Mus musculus: one gene and its partners. The protein of the gene in region 4 interacts with the protein of the main gene of each other region in a biochemical or structural test. Links are inferred from orthologs where the notes say so. Each region holds a gene or a part of one and is shown on either strand. Other genes may lie near its edges.

What was found.
Region 1: the proteins of Tert (region 4) and Cib1 form a complex in vitro, tested with the Homo sapiens proteins (2 studies listed by BioGRID). The link is inferred for Mus musculus from reciprocal best matches to the Homo sapiens genes TERT and CIB1.
Region 2: the proteins of Tert (region 4) and Tpp1 form a complex in vitro, tested with the Homo sapiens proteins (2 studies listed by BioGRID and IntAct). The link is inferred for Mus musculus from reciprocal best matches to the Homo sapiens genes TERT and TPP1.
Region 3: the proteins of Tert (region 4) and Hsp90aa1 form a complex in vitro, tested with the Homo sapiens proteins (2 studies listed by BioGRID). The link is inferred for Mus musculus from reciprocal best matches to the Homo sapiens genes TERT and HSP90AA1.
Region 5: the proteins of Tert (region 4) and Ptges3 form a complex in vitro, tested with the Homo sapiens proteins (2 studies listed by BioGRID). The link is inferred for Mus musculus from reciprocal best matches to the Homo sapiens genes TERT and PTGES3.

What each region holds. Positions count from the first base shown.
Region 1 is NC_000073.6:80,229,979-80,234,239, forward strand, and holds the start of Cib1 (calcium and integrin-binding protein 1), read right to left. Parts: upstream 2,828-4,261; 5' UTR 2,583-2,827; coding exon 2,532-2,582; intron 2,401-2,531; coding exon 2,366-2,400; exon of another isoform or gene 2,025-2,365; intron 447-2,024; coding exon 338-446; intron 1-337. UniProt on the Homo sapiens protein: Calcium-binding protein that plays a role in the regulation of numerous cellular processes, such as cell differentiation, cell division, cell proliferation, cell migration, thrombosis, angiogenesis, cardiac hypertrophy and apoptosis.
Region 2 is NC_000073.6:105,744,307-105,746,796, forward strand, and holds the end of Tpp1 (tripeptidyl-peptidase 1 preproprotein), read right to left. Parts: intron 2,467-2,490; coding exon 2,326-2,466; 3' UTR 505-2,325; downstream 1-504. Other genes in the region: Taf10 (transcription initiation factor TFIID subunit 10), read right to left, coding at 1-12. UniProt on the Homo sapiens protein: Lysosomal serine protease with tripeptidyl-peptidase I activity. May act as a non-specific lysosomal peptidase which generates tripeptides from the breakdown products produced by lysosomal proteinases. Requires substrates with an unsubstituted N-terminus.
Region 3 is NC_000078.6:110,693,569-110,697,841, forward strand, and holds the start of Hsp90aa1 (heat shock protein HSP 90-alpha), read right to left. Parts: upstream 2,828-4,273; 5' UTR 2,684-2,827; intron 2,113-2,683; coding exon 1,951-2,112; intron 1,851-1,950; coding exon 1,484-1,850; intron 1,137-1,483; coding exon 1,003-1,136; intron 776-1,002; coding exon 455-775; intron 309-454; coding exon 143-308; intron 1-142. UniProt on the Homo sapiens protein: Molecular chaperone that promotes the maturation, structural maintenance and proper regulation of specific target proteins involved for instance in cell cycle control and signal transduction.
Region 4 is NC_000079.6:73,633,409-73,636,935, reverse strand, and holds part of Tert (telomerase reverse transcriptase), read right to left. Parts: intron 2,785-3,527; coding exon 2,589-2,784; intron 1,517-2,588; coding exon 1,336-1,516; intron 580-1,335; coding exon 400-579; intron 1-399. UniProt on the Homo sapiens protein: Telomerase is a ribonucleoprotein enzyme essential for the replication of chromosome termini in most eukaryotes. Active in progenitor and cancer cells. Inactive, or very low activity, in normal somatic cells.
Region 5 is NC_000076.6:128,057,817-128,061,782, reverse strand, and holds the start of Ptges3 (prostaglandin E synthase 3), read right to left. Parts: upstream 2,802-3,966; 5' UTR 2,499-2,801; coding exon 2,497-2,498; intron 1-2,496. UniProt on the Homo sapiens protein: Cytosolic prostaglandin synthase that catalyzes the oxidoreduction of prostaglandin endoperoxide H2 (PGH2) to prostaglandin E2 (PGE2).

The DNA of each region.
Region 1 (4,261 bases), on a different chromosome or scaffold from region 4:
CTGCATTCGATCCTCAGAACGAATGCAGAACGAATGCTGGTTTTAAACGGGAAGAGTGGGCTGAAGAGATGGCTCAGGGATTACAAGTCCATACTGCTCTTGCAGAGGACCCTAGTTCAGTTCCTGGCACCTGTGAGGAACAGCTCACAACCACGTATAACCCCAGCACCAGGGAAACTCGACAGGCACCAGCACTTACATGTGTACACATCCCACACAATTCCATGTCATCAAAATAAAAACCCCAGGGTGTGGTGGCATGTGCTTACAATCAATAGGAAGGGTTAGGGAAGGTACTAGCAGAGAGAGGGTGGATGAAGTGGGTAGAGGACTGAACCTTGAGCTCTGGGAGGCTGAGGATCTGCTCAAACGATACTCGGGTGTGCAGTGACTCCTCCACGGTCCGCTGCTCTGGGGGAAGCAGCTCACAAAAGCGTCTGTGGGCTCTGGCAGAGAGAGGGGAACTTATTGGTGGCCTCAAGCAGTCAGTCTCCCTGTATTTATGACATCCCCATTCTGCGGTTTGAATGCCCTATAAACCAGCTGTGAAACTAAGTCACACACCCAGGATTCCCAGTCATTGGGCAATCTTTAGCCAAAGAGGGTAATTCACAAAACAGCAGAGGCTTGGGGGGGTCCCTTCTTAGGGTGGGCAATTATAAGAACTTACCCATGTCTGCAAGACACTATCTGAAGGGACTCTGACTAGCTTGGTGAGCATGGTTCTGGCAGGCCTTGCTCACTCTGCAGGGCCCAATTCCTTCTACCTTGCTACAAACCTACATTGCTAAAGCCAGCCCCCAAAGTCTATTCCCCTATTTGGCCACTTCCTCCTCCTGAGGCCGACGACCAAGGTCCAGCTATCAAAGTATTCACGTCCAGCAATCAAAAGCCCCCTTTGGCTAAAATTAAACACCTCCTCGTAGCCCAGGGTTTCCCCTTATACCTTTATAATCTGCCATTTTCCTATGTCCATGTCTGTCTCCTCTCTATCCAGAGGCAGTCCTTTCTCCTGTAGGACAAATACTCCTTCCACCTCTCCATTGTTCCCTTCCCCTTCTTCCTGTCTTCGAACTCATGTCTTTGTTATTTCTTGCCCTCTGTCCCTCTAAGGCAATAAATCTCCTTTGTGCTAAGAACTTGGTCTGGGGGTCCTGAGCTGCGACTTTCCCTTTCAGTGTCAGGCATTCTTTGCAACAGTCCTGGCAGGAAAAAGATAACTCTAGAGACATCTGTGCCTGTCCCTTTGGCTATTGAACTACAGAAACAATGTCCCCCGAGAAATTGGAATTCCCCGGCAATCTCGTGTTGTGAGAAGGATGAATTGAAGCCTGTTGTCTACTTAGGAGAAAATGTCTACCAGGAAGAGATTTTACACAGACGGCTCTGGTAACTTGTCAGAAGATCACCTTTCATGAGACTAGAGCTGAGACAATGAAGGAGAGACTCCATCTTGCCCAGGACTGCTGCTTAATTTTACATACCCTTGCCCTTTATTTAAATATAAACCTCACATCAGCTGGACATGAAGATTGACTTAAAGATGGGGGGAGGAGCGGTCATGTCCATTCTTAGCTTTTTTTTTTTCCCAGTATGGCCACATTGGATACATTTCGTTTCTCTGCTTTTCAATATTGTCCCTTTCCTTGGCCTACTGAGGACAGGTAGCACAGCCTAGCTGGTTAGGACTGCCTGTGTGGGCCAAGTACCTGGACTCTAACATTACAGTAACAAAAACACATGTTACCTCCACTCCAGAGACTCCTCTCAGCCACCACCTCTTTCCCAGTAGAATTTCATTGTGGGGCTAGGAACCTAACTCAAGCGCTCTGGCCAGCAAATCACTTATAGTGTGCTTTATAGTCAAGTTCTCAGAACTCTCTGAACCTGATTCCTTGATCTGTAACCTCCTCCTGAAGTAATGTGTGGATCACTCAGGAGCTACTGGGCAGAGTAAGGGTTCAGTAAACGTTAACGGTTACTGAATTAAACAGGTAAAGTTGGGATTGGAGCGAGCCACGTACAAGACCTCTTGGTTTTGCCAGAGGGCAAAGTCCGCAAAGAGTCACAGCAGTTCCTTTTAGAAGCGAGCAGGAAGCTCGGCAGTGAGGAGGCTAGAGGAGCTCAAACAGTTCAACTTTTCCTGGATACACAGAAGTGTTTGCGTGGTGCAAAGGTGAGGCTCTGGAGCGGGTGGGACTTGCACTCTGAGCCTCCGACTCCAGATCCAGTGATCCTGACATCCCAGAAGCACAGCCCCACCCTCGGAGGTGAGACGTCCAATCCGTATCCCGCGAGAAAAGTACCCGCAAAGCCCTCCCCTGGCAATCCCGAGTTGGAGGACCGGGGTCAGGGCAGCACTCACAGGAGGATCTCCTGCTTGGTCAGGAACGTCAGGTCCTGAAAGGCAAATCCAGACAAGGGTCTGCAAGCCGCCCGAAAGCCACGGCCGCCCCGCCACCTGTTCCCCGAACCCCACTCCCCTGCGCGGGCTCGCACGCGAGCTCCGCGAGAACTGGCGCCCCGCGCACCTGGTACTCGGCCAGCAGCTCCTTAGACAGGCGACTGCCCGAACCTCCCATCGCCGCGGTGCGCGCACAGCTAGGCCAACTCTCCCCGGGACGCCGGCAACTTTCTCACTTCCGTCCTCGGGGCCGCGTCCCCGCCCAGTCCCCGTAGCAACCGCTGCCTGGCCTCCGCCCCCGGGCCCGCCCCTGCCTACAGTGCCCCGCCACCCTTAGCGCCGCTCAGCGGGCCGGCTCCCGGCTCCCCGCGGGCCCAGGAGAGCTGGAGGGAGGGCCCGGGGAGGAGCCGGACGCATCGGGGCGGGGCCCAGGCCTCGTGGCCCCGCCTTCTAGTGGGCGGGGCGGAACGAGCCATGCGCACGTGATGCAGACTGCGCCTGCGTCGCGGTCTTCACGCGTTTGCTGAGTTCCGGGACCCGTCTGTGCACTGAGCCTTGAGATGCATCCGCCTCACCTAAATCAAGTGCAGAAGACCCCAGCTCTGGGTGGAGGCGGGTAACCTCCATACTCGCTCCCGGGCTGGAGGAGATCCGGTGCCCCTCTGCGGATAGGGTCAGTCCTAGACTGTCTCACGGGACAAGAGCTGCAGCCTCTGCCACCGTGCCAATTCTTCCAGAAGAAGCTTAGCTTCCTCTTGAAGTGGCTCTTGAAGGTGTTTACTGGATTGTGCAGTTATCGCCCATTCGTGGAACAGTTAGCAAGGTAGGCTTCCATTTTACAAACAGGTTCAATTTCAGTGATGTGTCCGGACTCCGGTATTTAGAGGTCAGTTCTGTCCACAGGTCCCTCCTGCTGTTTTATCGTCACAGCTGGGGTGCCTCCTTTGATTCCTCCCACAAATTGCGAGCTTCCAGCTGTAGGAACCAAGATTTGCCCTTCTCTCCTCTCAAATAATAATCAGATGCAAGTATGAACATATTTACACTGTGTGAAAAAGTGAAGATTCCAAGCTTCCGGAGGAGGAAATGTGGATTTTGTGATCTGGGTGGTCAACTTGGTTGGATCTGGAGTCAAGGAGAAGGGAAACAGCTTGACACTCCTGTGAGGGATTTTCTTTTTTCTTTTTTTTTTTTTTTTTTGCTTCGTCACCTGGCACAACAGGGCCAAGTCAATTACAATTTATTTGAGAATATTTTAACTTCGTACTGGACTGGTATTCATTCCTAGAGAAGTCTGGTCCTTCATCCGGCCAGTCCAGCTAGATGTTCCATACCCTCTGGGTAGGAGACTGTAAACCTTGCTTCTCATGCTTCTTTCTCTCTGCTCCTTCTTTAGCCTCCAGGAGAGGTGCAGGCTCTACCGCAAAGCCCAGGGGCTATGGCTTGCTTTCCTGGTCCACTCAGGGTCTTACCTCATAGAAACCCCTGAGCAGAGGGATTTTCTTGATCAGTTTATTTGAAGTGCGAAAATCTACTGCGGCAGTGCGCTCAGGTGGCAACCCGTACCAAACGGAAACGGAAGATGGCTTTTGGCCTGTTTGCCTTGGCTTGCTGATAAGTCTCTATCCTGTACCTGCCACTAAGGATTTCCTTTAATGACATTAGAATCATAGTGTTCCAGCTGCCAACTCAGATTGAAGACCAACAGCTCTCTAGGAACCCAGCACCGGCTTGGGACTGCAGAGATGCATCCTTGGGGACAGCTGCCGCTGTTGATCAGCCCAGACAATACTGAGTAAACCAATTTAATAAATCCCCTCTTAGTAAATATTCATCAGTTCTGCTCCTCGAGAGCAG
Region 2 (2,490 bases), on a different chromosome or scaffold from region 4:
GCTGCAGCTCATGGGGCCGGTGGGAAAGGCGGCGAACAGAGCCGCTTCCGCTTCCGCTCGCCCAGGCGCACGCTGCGTGACGTTACAGTTCCCGCCCACCACTCTAAGCTGCCGCGGGCGACCTTAGGTTGGCTGTTAGTGGATGAGGTGTAGACTTCAAGGCGGAGGCGAGCTGTGTGAGATGTGGCTGCCACCCTGCGGTTCCACCCCGGCCCGGGTGGGGCCGCAGAGCATCCAGGACTGAATACTTTATCTGGGTTCGTTCAACGACCTGGCTTGGGGACTCATCTGCCAGACACTTCATTACCAGTCTCCTGACGGTCTTCATGCATTCTTTGTAGTTCCCTTTCATGGTCTTTTAAGGGTTGCAGTGGATTTGATGTGTGTCCCTCCCACCCACAACGGGCTTAGGAGAGTACCTCTGTAAATGTAGAGATGGGTGTTTTACCCTGAAGAAATAGCATGCCAAAGTCTTGTGTGAAACACATTTACAATACAACAGACTTTTTTTTTAAACAGTCATTTATTTAATTTCTATTTGGGCTGGGACCTAGGAATACAAAGTTAAGAATCAGATTCTAGTTCACTAGCACCGACTGTCTGGAAAAGGAAGGCAAACAAACTGACAATTTCAATACTGTATGATTGTTTCCCAGCTACATGTAGGTGCAGTGCAAAGAAGAAAGGGAAACTAACATTCATTGCTTAATTCCAAGTGTGAGACATTAGCAATGTTTATTTCCCGATTTTGAAGGCAAGTTTCAATGTCTCTGACTTTTACCCAGTAATCTTTGAAGGGTTTGCACAAATACATAGACTGCTTGGTTTGGAAGATGAGGGGCTTCGGAAGCCTTTCCTCTCCCCAAGTGCTTCCTGCAGTTTAGAAGAAAAAAGAACATGGGCTCAAAGATAATGCAGTATTTTGTGCATGTGTGTGTGTGCACATATGTGTATTTTTGAGACATGGTCTGACTATGTAGGCCTGGCTTGTCTGGAACTCTTTATATAGACCAGGATGGCCTCAAACTCAGAGACTTGCCTGGCCTCTGTCTCCTGAGTGCTGGGATTAAAGGTGTGCATCACCACACTAGCCGATAAAGATATACTTGAGAGGCAGTCAAGAAAACTTTTTGAAGTTAGTAAGGAGGTGAAAAAGATGAGAGTTAAGAGTTATAGGTTTCTGGCTTGTTTGAAAGAGGCATTATATCATAGATTAAGAGATGAAATAGTTTAGGTCTGGGCTGGAGGGAGATGAAGTAACGAGGTATCTCACATTTGAGGTATCACTCACTGTGGGTATAGATGTCAGTGATCTGTCAAGGGATGATAATAAAATGATAAGAGCAAGAAACTAAGAATGGAACAATGAACACAGCATCCCTGGAGTCAGCAGAAAAGGGGGCTGATTAGTGTGGTCAGAGGGGGGTCACTGAGGAAAAAGGATAAATGGGAAACTGATGGAAAGAACAAACACCCAGGTTCACAGAAGCTAGATGTTTGTAATGTCTGACAGTTGAAATTAAAACCTGAATGTTGCTTTGGTGTAGCTGAGAAGGGGAAAATAAAATGTAAATTTTAAAACACTTTACAAAAAAAAAAATCACTCAAGCAAAAATTTAAAGCAAAATTTGTAATGACCTATTTATTTTGTTGAGGAATTTTGCCAATGAGAACATTTCAAACATTTTAAGTTTTCAATTTTTAACTTTCCTTAGAATAGTTATATAGTTAAATAGATTGCAGCCAATGTGTTCTTTTTCTTTTTTTTTTTTAATGGTTTTTTGACAACCTGTTCTTAAATAAGAAAACCCATAAAACAAACACTGAAAAGGGTATAACTGGATAAAACATTGGGGAGACCATTGTACTTCAGTGCCGAGAGAAGAAAGACAAAACGATTAGTCAAAGGTCTCACTTCAGTGAACGGAAAAGCAAACCCGAAGAGAAATAGAGTGTACGGTCAGTGCAGAGGTGGTAAGCGTTGGGTGGACCTGCTAGTGTCAGTAATGGAAGACTGAACCTTCTTGCCCTGCTTTCACATCTCAAGCTGGAAAGAGGAAGGAGAGATGGGGTTGGGGTGAGACAAAATATGCTGGTTATAGCATCTTGTTGAGGATCTTGAAGTAGAAGTTTGGAGACCTGAGTTTGATGGCACACAGTAGGATTGAGAGTTGAGTCCTGTTCACAGCATCTGAGGGTTAGGGAGAAGCTATCTGCAGCAGGCAACAGGAGTTCAGCAGGGCTTCTATCGAGGAATAACAAGAAACTGAGCCTTCCCTTTTAGTACAGGGAACAGTTCTGCTTTCTCGTCATGGCACGAAAGGGTCAAGGGTTGAGCAGGGTCTTCAGTAGGGCTGGGAAGTTGGGTGTTCCCCAACCTGTCACAGGATCCCAGCCAGGACCAGAGCAGAAACCCTGACCCTCCACTTCTTCATTCAGACAGGACTCATGGCAGCCGTGGGTTACCTGGGAGGAGATGATGGCATCAGG
Region 3 (4,273 bases), on a different chromosome or scaffold from region 4:
AAGGGGACTGAGCCCAGAGCCTCAAACAAGTTAGGCAAACCCCGTCTCCACTAGGTTACATCCTCAGTCCCCCACCAACACAGACCCAACGAATGGGATTTTCTGTCTGTCAACAGTGCCGATTCTTCCCATCCCTACTTACTCAGATACTCAGGGATTAATTCCTCACAGTTATCCATGATAAAAACTCTGCGAACATACAACTTGATGTTGTTCTTTTTCTTTCTGTTTTCAAACAGATCAAAAGGAGCGCGTCTTGGGACAAAAAGAAGGGCCCGGAATTCTAATTGTCCTTCAACAGAAAAATGCTGCAATAAAATGAAACAACCTTTTAATGCCATGGACAAAATGAATTGGCTTTCTCTACTGGGCTAAGTTACACTTCGAAGCTTTTCTATAGGTGAGTATAGAGGTTTAAAAAGTCAACCTGAAAACCTGCTTTTAAGTCACTCACCTTTACTGCCAAGTGTTCTTCCCAATCGTTAGTTAAGCTCTTGTAGAACTCTCCATATTCCTCATTAGTGATGTCATCAGGATTTCTCGTCCAAATCGGCTTTGTTTTGTTGAGTTCTTCTTGATCAATGTACTTTTCCTTTATCTTCTTCTTTTTCTTCTTGTCACCATCCTTCTTCTCCTCCTCTTCTTCATCAGAGCCAACATCTTCTATTTCAGGTTTATCATCAGACTCCTTTTCTTCTTTTTCTTTCTCTTCCTCTTTCTCTTCCTTTTCTTCAGCCTCATCATCACTGACTTCCTTATCTCGTTCCTTCTCCACCTTGAAAGGCAAATCACTTCATTATAAATTTATACAACTAGGACAGATCTCAGAAATGTGTACAACCAAGAAGCCTCTCATCAGTAGTTTCTCTAATTTCTCCACAATCCTCTTCAGATACCACCTTTCCAAACAGGCTAATCTGTCTAGTACAACACCAGGTTCACAGAACTCTAAACAGCCTCAGTTATCTCAATTATATGAAATTTACCCTGTAGGTAACTTACAAAGAGAGTAATGGGATAGCCAATGAACTGAGAATGCTTCTTCACGATCTCCTTTATTCTCCTTTCCTCCAAATACTCTGTTTGGTCTTCTTTCAGATGCAAGATAACCTTTGTTCCACGACCCATTGGTTCACCTGGAAAAGAAAAGGGCAATGGTTACTATTCAAAGCCTCCATGCTTGCTGGAGGTTTCCTAGCAGCTAACCTTCCCCACAAATGCAAAGGTCTCCAAAGCTTTAACTTCCTTGCCCAAGATGTACAACTGAGCAAACAGCCATACATTTTTCCTATTTCCTAGCCCAGGTCCTGAAGCTCCCTTTAGATTAACAATTTTGTTGAAAAGCTCAGGACTTAGCACTAAGGCTATGTATGCCAGACTGCTCTTTAACTCTTCAACTCTCCAAGTTAACCCTCTCAAGCACTTACTGAAGTTAACCAGACACCCCCTACAATTGAATACATTCCTTTTGGCCTATGCCTACCTGTGTCAGTCCTCACTGTGAAGGATCCCCCAGCTGAGGACTCCCAGGCATACTGCTCATCGTCGTTATGCTTCGTGATGACAGTCACTTTCTCAGCAACCAAATAGGCAGAGTAAAAACCAACACCAAACTGGCCAATCATAGAGATATCTGCACCAGCCTGCAAAGCCTCCATGAAGGCTTTGGTGCCCGACTTGGCAATGGTGCCAAGGTTATTGATCAAGTCGGCCTTGGTCATTCCAATCCCGGTATCCACAATGGTCAGGGTTCGGTCCTGTTTGCTGGGAATGAGATTGATGTGCAGCTCCTTCCCCGAGTCCAGTTTACTGGGGTCCGTCAGGCTCTCGTAACGGATTTTATCCAGAGCCTATTAAGAAAAGATTAAAAATGAAAAAACCGTCAAGCGCAAACCCCAAGGTGAAATTTTCAGGGAAAGCAACGTCCAATCCTCCAAGTGGTATACTCACGTCCGATGAATTGGAGATGAGCTCCCTCAGAAAGATCTCTTTGTTCGAGTAGAAGGTATTGATGATCAAGGACATTAACTGGGCAATTTCTGCCTGAAAGGCAAAGGTCTCGACCTCCTCCTCCTCCATTGGTTGGTCTTGGGTCTGGGTTTCCTCAGGCATCTGGAACACAGAGGACGACTCTAAAGCCTCACAGAATGGCTGCAGGCGTGCTAACGACCGCCCCTCCTCTATAGAGGTCTCTTACCGACTCTATTTTGGACTAAGAAAGGGACGAAATAGAAAAGGGCGACGGGGCGGGGGGTGGATGACAAAGGGATGACCTCATTTCAGAATGCGGTAATTACGAAGCGCATGTGCGCGCCTCCGGGAGGACGTTCGGACCCGGGCGGCTCCACGCACGCCGTTCCTAACGGCCACCCTCCCCCAACCCGCCGCTATGGCGCCTCCCTCGCCCGCCCGCGCCTCGGCGGCACCGGCGACAGCCCAACCCTCGCTTCGCTCGCCCCGCGCCCGCCTCGCCGCCGCCACCGCTCCTCCTCGGCGGCCATTGCCGCATCCCCGGCCTGGGGCGTAGATATGAGGCCCGCCTGGGGCCTAGGGTCGGAAGCCATGGCCGCCCACCTCCGCGGGCTGAGGGAACTCGGATGGTGGCCCCGCTGCCGCCGCGGCGCCAGCAACCTACGGCCCTGCTCCCCAAGCCCCCGCTAAGTCCGCCTGCGCCATCACTCACCGTGGCTGAATGAACACGCACGAGACGTGACGCTCCGCACCAGGACACTGAAGCAACTGGCGCGCCGCCCCCTGCGCCGGCCTTATATAGAGGCGGGCCCGCCCAGCGCGCGGCGCTTCTTTCCAGAAGCCTCCGGAACCTTCCGGAAGAACCCTCCCCAACCGTCGCCTCGGCCGCGCGCCCGCGCCTGCGCAATGGACGGGCCCCGCCCCTCCACCTGGAGCGCGCCGAACCCGCGCGGAGAACGAACGCAAGCCCCTCCTCCACAGCCAGGTGCTCTGCACATGCGCAGTCCGGAACGCTCGGCGGGCCGGGCGCCTTCCCGGGCCGCACGCGCGCGCGCGGACGGGCCGGCCAGCGCATGCGCCTGAAGCCTCCATGTGAGCCCTGTGGTCTAAGGCTTCTTTTCCCCGGCGCTCTGTAAAAGGGACGTCCCCATGGGAACGCGCGCGTGTTGTGTGAACCTCGCGGTCCTCTGCGGCGCTTTAGGTCCTTGCAGGCAAAAGGTCCCCCTTCGGGCTCCCTTTGGGAACGCGGACCCCGCAGGAGGCGAGTCCCGCCCCCCCCCTGGCTTCCACCTTGATGGGTGGGGCGCCTCCCGGACTGGGGTTCTGGTTGCGTAGTCTGAATTTCAGGGCTGACCCCGCTGGAGTGTGTTCTGAAGCCTTACAGTGGGCTTACTGAGAGACCTTACACGGTGGGTCTTACAAATCCGTCCAGAGTGCTTGGGGATTTCTCTTTGACCAAAAGCTATGACCCTCAAATTGGGCGTTGTGAGGGATTTTGTATCAAATTTGTGCTACCTTAATTTACTGTAATTTTGGGGCTGGAAAGATGGCTCTTCCAGTAAAGGTGCTTGGGTTTGATATCTGCCACCCAGAGCGTGGGAAAAAAAGCTAGCCTTCAGCGCTGTGTCTCCCACGTGCCCATACACACACACACTCGCACAGTGTGAAAATAAGTGTAAAGGACTAGAGAGATGGCTGGGAGCAGTTAGTGGTGCCAAACACGCACGTTAAGGCAGCTCACAACCACCAGTTACTACAGTTCTTGGAAATAAACTATCCTCTCTGGCCTCCACGGGCACCAGGAACACACATGGTGCACAGGCACACGCAGTCAAAAAATGGTCATATAAAACACTCTATCCTGATTTTTGAAGCACCTTCATATGGTGTACATACGAAGTTACTTTGGGCGATTAACGTGACCCAAAAGATAGTTTCCTTGTTTGTTTATCTTTAATATAGGCTTCGGTTTCACTCCCCATACCTTTCCTTTGGGTTACTCCCACCCTGTATTTCCTATTTCCGCATCTTTTCCTGCTGACAAAACGATTACTAAGATTAGAAAGAAAAGGGCTGGAGAGATAGCTCAGTGGTTAAAAGCATGGACTGGTCTTCCAGAGGACCCAGGTTCAATTCCCAACACCCACAAGGCAGCTCACAGCTGTCCATAACTCCAATATCTGACACCTTCACACAAACATACATGTAGGCAAAACACCAATACACATAAAATAATAAATAAAAGCTTAGAAAGAAAAGAAGCCGGGAAAGAGGAAGCCAGGCAGTGGTGGCATAAGCCTTT
Region 4 (3,527 bases):
ACCCTCGAGGCCTACAAGGGCCCCTGGCTAACCCAGATGCTGAAGCATCCAGGCCCTGGTGGTAGAGTCAGGCTTTACTTCTCTGAAGAGGACCCAGAATCCAAAGGGTCTCGCACAGAGCGGAGACCAGAGAGGTTGGAATGTACTGTCAAGGGAACCCATATAGAGCTCAAGACTGTCCTGGGAGCTAGTTATCAACCCCTCCCCCACCATGGGGTCTTTCTGATCTTGAGAGAACTGGGGGCCATAATATTTTTGGCCTGTATAGGGTAGCAGGCTAACACTCCCAATCACCAACAAGAGGCTGCAACAGGGTCACCCAGCATTGCTTATTTCAAGGAGGTCCCTAGAGCCCAGACCATGAGAGCAAATGTGATAGACAGGAGTCCAAATGACCACCTTAACAAAGTACATCCTGGGTGTCTGGTCCAGAGCACGCACACGCAGCACAAAGGCCCGCCAGGTCCTGTAGATGTCATTCATACCCAGTACAGAAGACCCCATAAGGTGAGGATGTTTTGTCCGCTCATAGTTGAGCATGCTGAAGAGAGTCTTGAGACGCTGGGTGAAATGCTGGGCCTGTGCCAGGGCCATAGAGGACACATTAGAAAGGGACCTGGCAGACTGTTCCCTGACCACCCCGATTTCTCAGAATAGACTCCTATAGCTCAGCCAGAGCTCCTCTAGAGCCAGAGTCTTAGAGGATCTATCTCACTAAGTCAATTGACTGTATGTGGGGCCTTCATCCAACCTGCCTCAACCTGTTCTCATCCTCTTCCAGGGGTAGTGCCTTCTAGAACATGCCCACTGGGCTAGAGTCAGGAGATACTCTAGATGCAGGAGGATACTCCACGCTTCTCCACTCCACTACCGCACATTCCCATCCCACGTTCCAGACAAAAGACCCTGGGGCATGGTGGGCCTATAGTCCTCTCGCTATCCCATTGCCCCAGATTGAGTACCCTAGGACAAGGAAAGCCTTGAAGACCCTCGAGGCCTACAAGGGCCCCTGGCTAACCCAGATGCTGAAGCATCCAGGCCCTGGTGGTAGAGTCAGGTTACTTTGCCCCCCCCCCTGGTTACTTTGCCCCCCCCCCCCCAGCATAGAGGCCATATAGTGCCGACCCTACCTGGCAGGGTCCCTGAGGGATCTCCAGGGTTTGTGTCCCAAGCTCTCTGGGTCTTGGGACCATCTCCCATCTCTAAGCCCTTTCCACATGCTGGGTTTTTAGACTTAGGAACAACAGGTTACTTAGCCTCCCTCAGAACTTCATGAGCCCTTACTTAAGTCAGAGTATAGACTCAACCATCAGTACAGGGGCCAAGTCCGGTCACCTGCTTCCTTCTGCCCAAAGCTCTGGTACCCATGCTATAACTCATGTTCACAATGGGCCGCAGGCCGTTGGGCTTGGGGATGAAGCGCAGTCTGCAGATGGGCATGGCTAGCCAGGTGTCCTGGTGATGCCTGACCTCCTCTTGTGACAGCTCCCGTAGCCGCACTCTCTCAAGGTGTTGCCTGTTACGGAGCGCACCGTGGAGTTATGACAGGAGCATGCAGGGAGTTCATGAGACATGTCCCATCAGGGTGGTTGGGAACTTGGAGCACTTGACACCCGACCATGCTATGGGGCTACATCTAGGACCAGAACAACCCACACAACCCACACACCCCATAGACCTGTCTGGACAGGGTTCATGACACGAAGCCTGGGTCGGCACCTGGGACATCTGGTCCCGTAGTCTGTCCTTGGTGTTTCCTTCTTGGGGGTCCCATTGGCCAGGATATTTTTGAAGCAATCCGCTGACTCTTATGGATATCTTGGCTTAGACACAGGTATGAAAGCAAAAAGTGTCCCTGCCTGCCCTCAGGAAGCCCTGTGCTGGTTGCTAAGGATCCCATAAGCACAATGGGTGGGTGATATATGATCCATAGCTAAGGCTGGACCTCAAGAAAGCTAACATGGAGCTGGGTGGTGGTGGCGCACACTTTTAATCCCAGCACCCAGGAGGCAGAGGCAGGTGGCTCTCTGTGAGTTTGAAGCCAGCCTGGTCTAGGGAACTAGTTTCAGGACAGCCAGGACCACACAAAGAAACCCTGTCTTGAAAAATAAAAACAAAACAAAACAAACAAACAAACAAAAATAGAAAGTTAACATGGTAGTCTGCTCTTTGCAGGCCTTGCCTAGCTGCTCCACTGCCCTCTCAGCTTGGCCTTCTGCTGAGACAACAAAACTCTAGCTCAATCAGCACAGAACCTCAGCCACTCAGAGCCCTGCCACTTCTCAGGGTGGACCCTTGTGGTTTCCCAGTGAGGAGACACTTCCTTTCCTTCAGGGGTAGACATGAGGTGGAATCCATCAGTTCCGCTCCCGTTTGATAAAAAAGCTCTCCTACCTTAAGGATCTTATAGATGGTACAGATCCAATTTATGATTTCACAGGCAATAAAGCAGGGACTCCATTCCATGGCTACAGGGAATCTATGCCCTCAAGGTCCATGCCCAGGCTAGCAGGTGCCACACACTGTGCACCGGTGCCTCTGCGTATGCACACAGGAGACACTGATACCTGAGGGATGCTGTGTGGTACCTGACTCCAATGCTCTGCAGCTTGCTCCACACACTCTTACGGTAGAAGAAGAGCCTGTTCTTCTGGAATGTGCTCTCTGTGATGTAAAAGAATGACCTAAGCAGCTGTACCACGTATGTGTCCATCAGCCAGAACAGGAACGTAGCCAGGATCCTCTCCCTCAGACGGTGCTCTGCAGCGGGGACACGGTCCTTCCCTGAAAGTAGTAGATACTCAACATTCCGTGACTCACCTCAGATCCACAATGTCTAGCATGGAAGCCATAGGTCCCCAAATTAATAAGCTAGTTTAACCTTTGTGTGTGTGCTTTCTTTATGCTGTAAACTAAAGTTCCCTGACAAAGCCATGTCTGGATCCTGCAGGCCGACTGACTACAGATGAAATGCTGCTGACTGACAGGGAAATGTTCTTGAGGCATCCTTCATCCCCCAGTAGCAGCCTCTCACTACCAACCTCTGTATCTGATGTAGCTCCACTGTGACGAACCGGTGATCCTTGTAGGCTAGATTGACTTAGCAAACCCTAGCTTCTATCAGCTCTAAATCAAATTATATCTTCAGATAGGGGATAAGGACATGGCTCAGTTGGTAAAGTGCTTGCTGGAGGGGCATGAAAACCGAGTTCAGTTGTCAGAACCCATGTTTTAAAAGCCAGGAGTGGTGACATGTGCCTGCAGTTCCAATACTATGGAGGCAAAGACAGATGAACTCTAACTGAATCAGCAAGCTCCAGGGGATTAAAGAAGACACGGAGTGTCAACCTCAGACCTCCGCACACATACACAGGCAAACCTCAGTGGCGGCTGGTACTATACTACCGGGTCACTGACTACACACACTCATTGCTACTGAGCAGTGCAGTTCAGAGATGTCTAGAACAAAGTAGAGAACAGGCTGCTCCTACTGCCATGCTGGACATGTGAGTTCCGTGCACCATAAC
Region 5 (3,966 bases), on a different chromosome or scaffold from region 4:
ACCTCTTTAACCCTGTAGAATGACCATTTTAAAAAGACCAGGTATCTGACCTCTTCAAAATGTGCACAATGGTGCAAACCTGGTCCACACAGAAACCTCATCACAAAAAACAAAAATAAATGAGATGTGTGCACACTATATAGACCTATCTGGCCTTGATCTTATATAATCCCAATATATAATCCTATTGGGTTCACCTATAATCCCAAATAATTAGGAAGTGGAGGGAAAGAGTAGGAGTTCAAGGGGGATCCTCCCACATATTGGGAGGTTAGGCCACCTAGGGCAGCATAGACGCTTTCTCAAAAAACAATCCCTTTAAAGAAGGTAATAGGATCAGGAGTTGTACACCTTTAATCCTAGAACTCAGGGAGGCAGAGGCAGGTGTATCTCCAGCCCAAGTTCCAGGATAGCCAGAGCTACACAGGGAGAACTTGTCTCAAAAAAAAAAAAAAAAAAAAAGCTGGGCGTGGTGGTGCACGCCTTTATTCCCAGCACTCAGGGGGCAGGCGGATTTCTGAGTTCAAGGCCAGCCTGGTCTACACAGAGAAACCCTGTCTCAAAAAACCAAAAAAAAAAAAAAAACCTAAAAATCAAAACAGACAAAAACAAACAAGAGCACCCACACACACAAAGGTTGGAAAGATGGCTCAAGGGTTAAAAGCGCTGGCTGCTCTTCCAGAGGACCCAGGGTTCTAGCCCCAGCACCCACATGGTGATTCACAAACCTCTAGCTCCAGGGTATCCAACATTCTCTTCAGGCCTGGCCTCTAGCAGTGCAGATGATACACAAACATACAGACAAAACATCCACACCACACTGCTCTTGCTTCTACAAGAGCACCCAAGCAGGGTGGCTCACAACTGCCTCTAACTCCAGATTCAGAACTAACACCTCTGCTCTCAGCAGGCAGTTGGTTCTGGTAATAGAACTTGGGTTCTCAGCAAGGGTAGCCAGTGCTGTTAATCACTGCGCAGTCTCTCTACCTCCTAAATTGCTACTTCTGGATGAAAAGATGTTTCGTTTGGCTATGTTTATCTACTAAATTGATTATGTTTTACCTAGCAATTCATTTTCCCCGTACAGTTTGGAAAATATCAAAAAGTTTTTACATAAACTTGTCCTAAGAAGCCAACATGACATCAGAATACAGGTCAGTCACACACAAGAGCTTTTTCTTAACATCTCAAAGGTAAAATTTAAATCCATGCTGGTGAGATGGCTAAGCAAGTGAAGGCTCTCCGTTTCTCTACCTGACAACTTAAATTGTTTCCCCACAGACTGTCCTCTTACCTCCAGGAACACGAGGGGGTGGGGGGAGGGCACACACATGAATAAAATTACTATAATGAAACACTAAAATGTAAAACCTGCTACATATCTTTGTTTTTATGGGGGACTCCTCCAAATTTCTTTACACATTTTCTAGTACTACATGGTCTTCTTCTAGGACCTGTTTCTCAGCCACTAATTGGCTCTAGGACATCGTCTATCAATTTAGATTTTTAGCCATTCAAGCAAGCAGTTAAAACTTAAACTTGTACAATCGTTAAACTTTTTTTTTCAACTACAATCCGTAACTTTTAGTGCTGTGCATAGCAGCCACCCACACCACCCTCAAGTACTGTAATTCAATTCTCTCATATTTGAAAGTTGTCCAGGCTAGAAAAATAAGGGCAAAAATTCTTAGATTAAAAGAATCTGTAACCTCCATATAAACAAATTAAGACCTTCAGGCAAGTGAGATGGTCATTTTATACCTGTTTCACCTCCGCATACAAAGAGCATGACGAAATGCCACCCAAAGTTTATTGAGGTACAGAGAAGAAAAGAGTCCACAAGTATCTTGTGACTAGACACGTGCAGAACTACCTGCTCCATAGTAACTATTACTCGCTGCCAAGGAGGTGACCGCATTTGCTAGCGTTCACCATTTTCAAGAGACCCGAGATGTGGGAACGGGAAGTTTCGTTGTGGTGACGGCATGGCCCCCTCTAGTTGCCTAGCAGTGCCTGCCGCCGAGGGCCGCGTGGTGCCCTACCGGTAGCACCGGCTTACGGCGGCACCCACAAATGCTCTCAGCCCGGTCCTGCCGGGTCCGGGCATCAGCACCGAGCGGCAGGACTCCACGGCTCCCGGCGCCCTCATGGCGGAAAGCTCACACACGAGTTTAGGGCCTAAGGCTAAGTTCCCAGAGTTCCGAGAGAGCCAGGCTGTCTAGGGAAGAAAAGTGGGATTTCTGGCACGAGGAATCCGGGGGTCGATCTGGAGGTGGGGAAACGGACATCTGGAGGAAAAATGTCCTCCAACGGTAACAGGAACAAGGATGCAGGCCCTCCCACCCCACGGCAGGGCTGCCACCAGCGCGGGCGGGGAGAAAGGCGAAGGGCCGAGGGTGGGGGGAGGGCGAGGGGCCGTTTCCCGGCAGCCGGGGCTCCCGGCGCGGCCTCGCTCCGCTCCGGGACGACCTTCCGTCGGCGGGATGTCGCACTCACATGGTGAACGGGGCAGAGGGCCAGACAAACGGGTGGGCGGGCCTCGCTGGCGGCGGCTGGCGAGTCGACTCCTCTCCGGCGGCGACTCCGGCGGTCTCTGCCCGGTCGCGGCCTCTCCTCGCTCCTCTTAGGCGACGGCGGCGGCGGGCTCGGCCTCGATGCCCAGAATGCACCGCGCGGAGAGCGGCTCCCTCAACCCGGGAGAGAAGGAAAGTGTAGGAAAAGGGGCGCGAGGACGGAGAAGGAGCGTGCGTGCGCGCGAGGGGTGGCGAGGCCGGGCGGCGGCTGGTGACGCAGCAAAATGCCCGGGCCGGCCGCCGCGCGTGCGCAATCGCCGTTTCCAGGCTCTGCGCGGTTTTCTAGAGATCTCTACGGAAGGGGCGGGGCCTCCCGGCTCCTTCGCGATCCTTCCCGCGCCCGCCCCTCCCCTCGACCCTCCGGCTGCCCCGTTCGCGCCTGTCTTCCCGGGCTCCGGTCTCGCGTTAGCAAGCCGTTGGCCGCCAACCGCCTGAGCACGCTCGCGGGCGATCTCCCCGAGAGACGTAGGGGCCGCCCTGGAAGGCGGTGGGACGCTGCGGCGTATACAGCAGACCCCAAGGCGATGTGTGGGGATTGTTTTGTCTTAGACAGGGGTGCCTGCCGCAAACCCAGGTTGGCCTCGAGTTCAGTCGCCCGAGTCCGGGATTGCAGTCCTGTGCCAAAGCCACCACGCCCGGCAACGCCGGTTGCATCCGTGGAAAAACGGCTTCGTCCTTAAAGCCTGGACCACTCGCTGTTTTTCTGATTGTCCGGATCCCGCCTGGGCTCCTTTAGCGGAGGAGCTGCTTTTGCCTCTTTGCCTTTAGGGGCGCGCCTCTCCCCCCTGCTTGGAGACATTGGCGCCCTGGGGGAGGCGAGGAGGGAAGTTTCTAGATTAATTCGCTGTCTCCTTGCGTGAGTTCAGATGAGGTGGTTAAGGATCTATTTGAAAATCCTTTGACTGGTTTTGTATACAATGCCCTGGGTTAAATGGGGTTAGTAGCCAAGAACAATCTCTGCTTATCAAAAACTGACGGATTAGGGCAGAGGTAGACCAATGAGCCACTATTAGGACATCAGGTTTTTAGAGTAATCCTGCTTCAGTCTCTTATGTGCTGGTATTACAGGCTTTTTTCTTTTGATATTGATGTCAGTGCAGACTAATTGGTGATGTTGGCTGTATAGTCCAGATCCAATTGCCTGATGTTAAGAACTTTACCACCTGTCAGGGAAATGAAAATTAGTCTGGTGTAGTGTCACAGGCTTGTAATCTCAGCTGAAGGAGCTGGGACAACTTGGTAGTGTGGGCAACTTCCCTGTTTCAAATTTCCATTTTTTCCCGAGGTGATGTAAGTATTCTGTCAACAATTATGTATGTGTACCGTGTGTGTGCCTGATTCCCACACAGAGGTCAAAAATAGGGCCTGAGATCCTTTGAAACTAGATCATGTG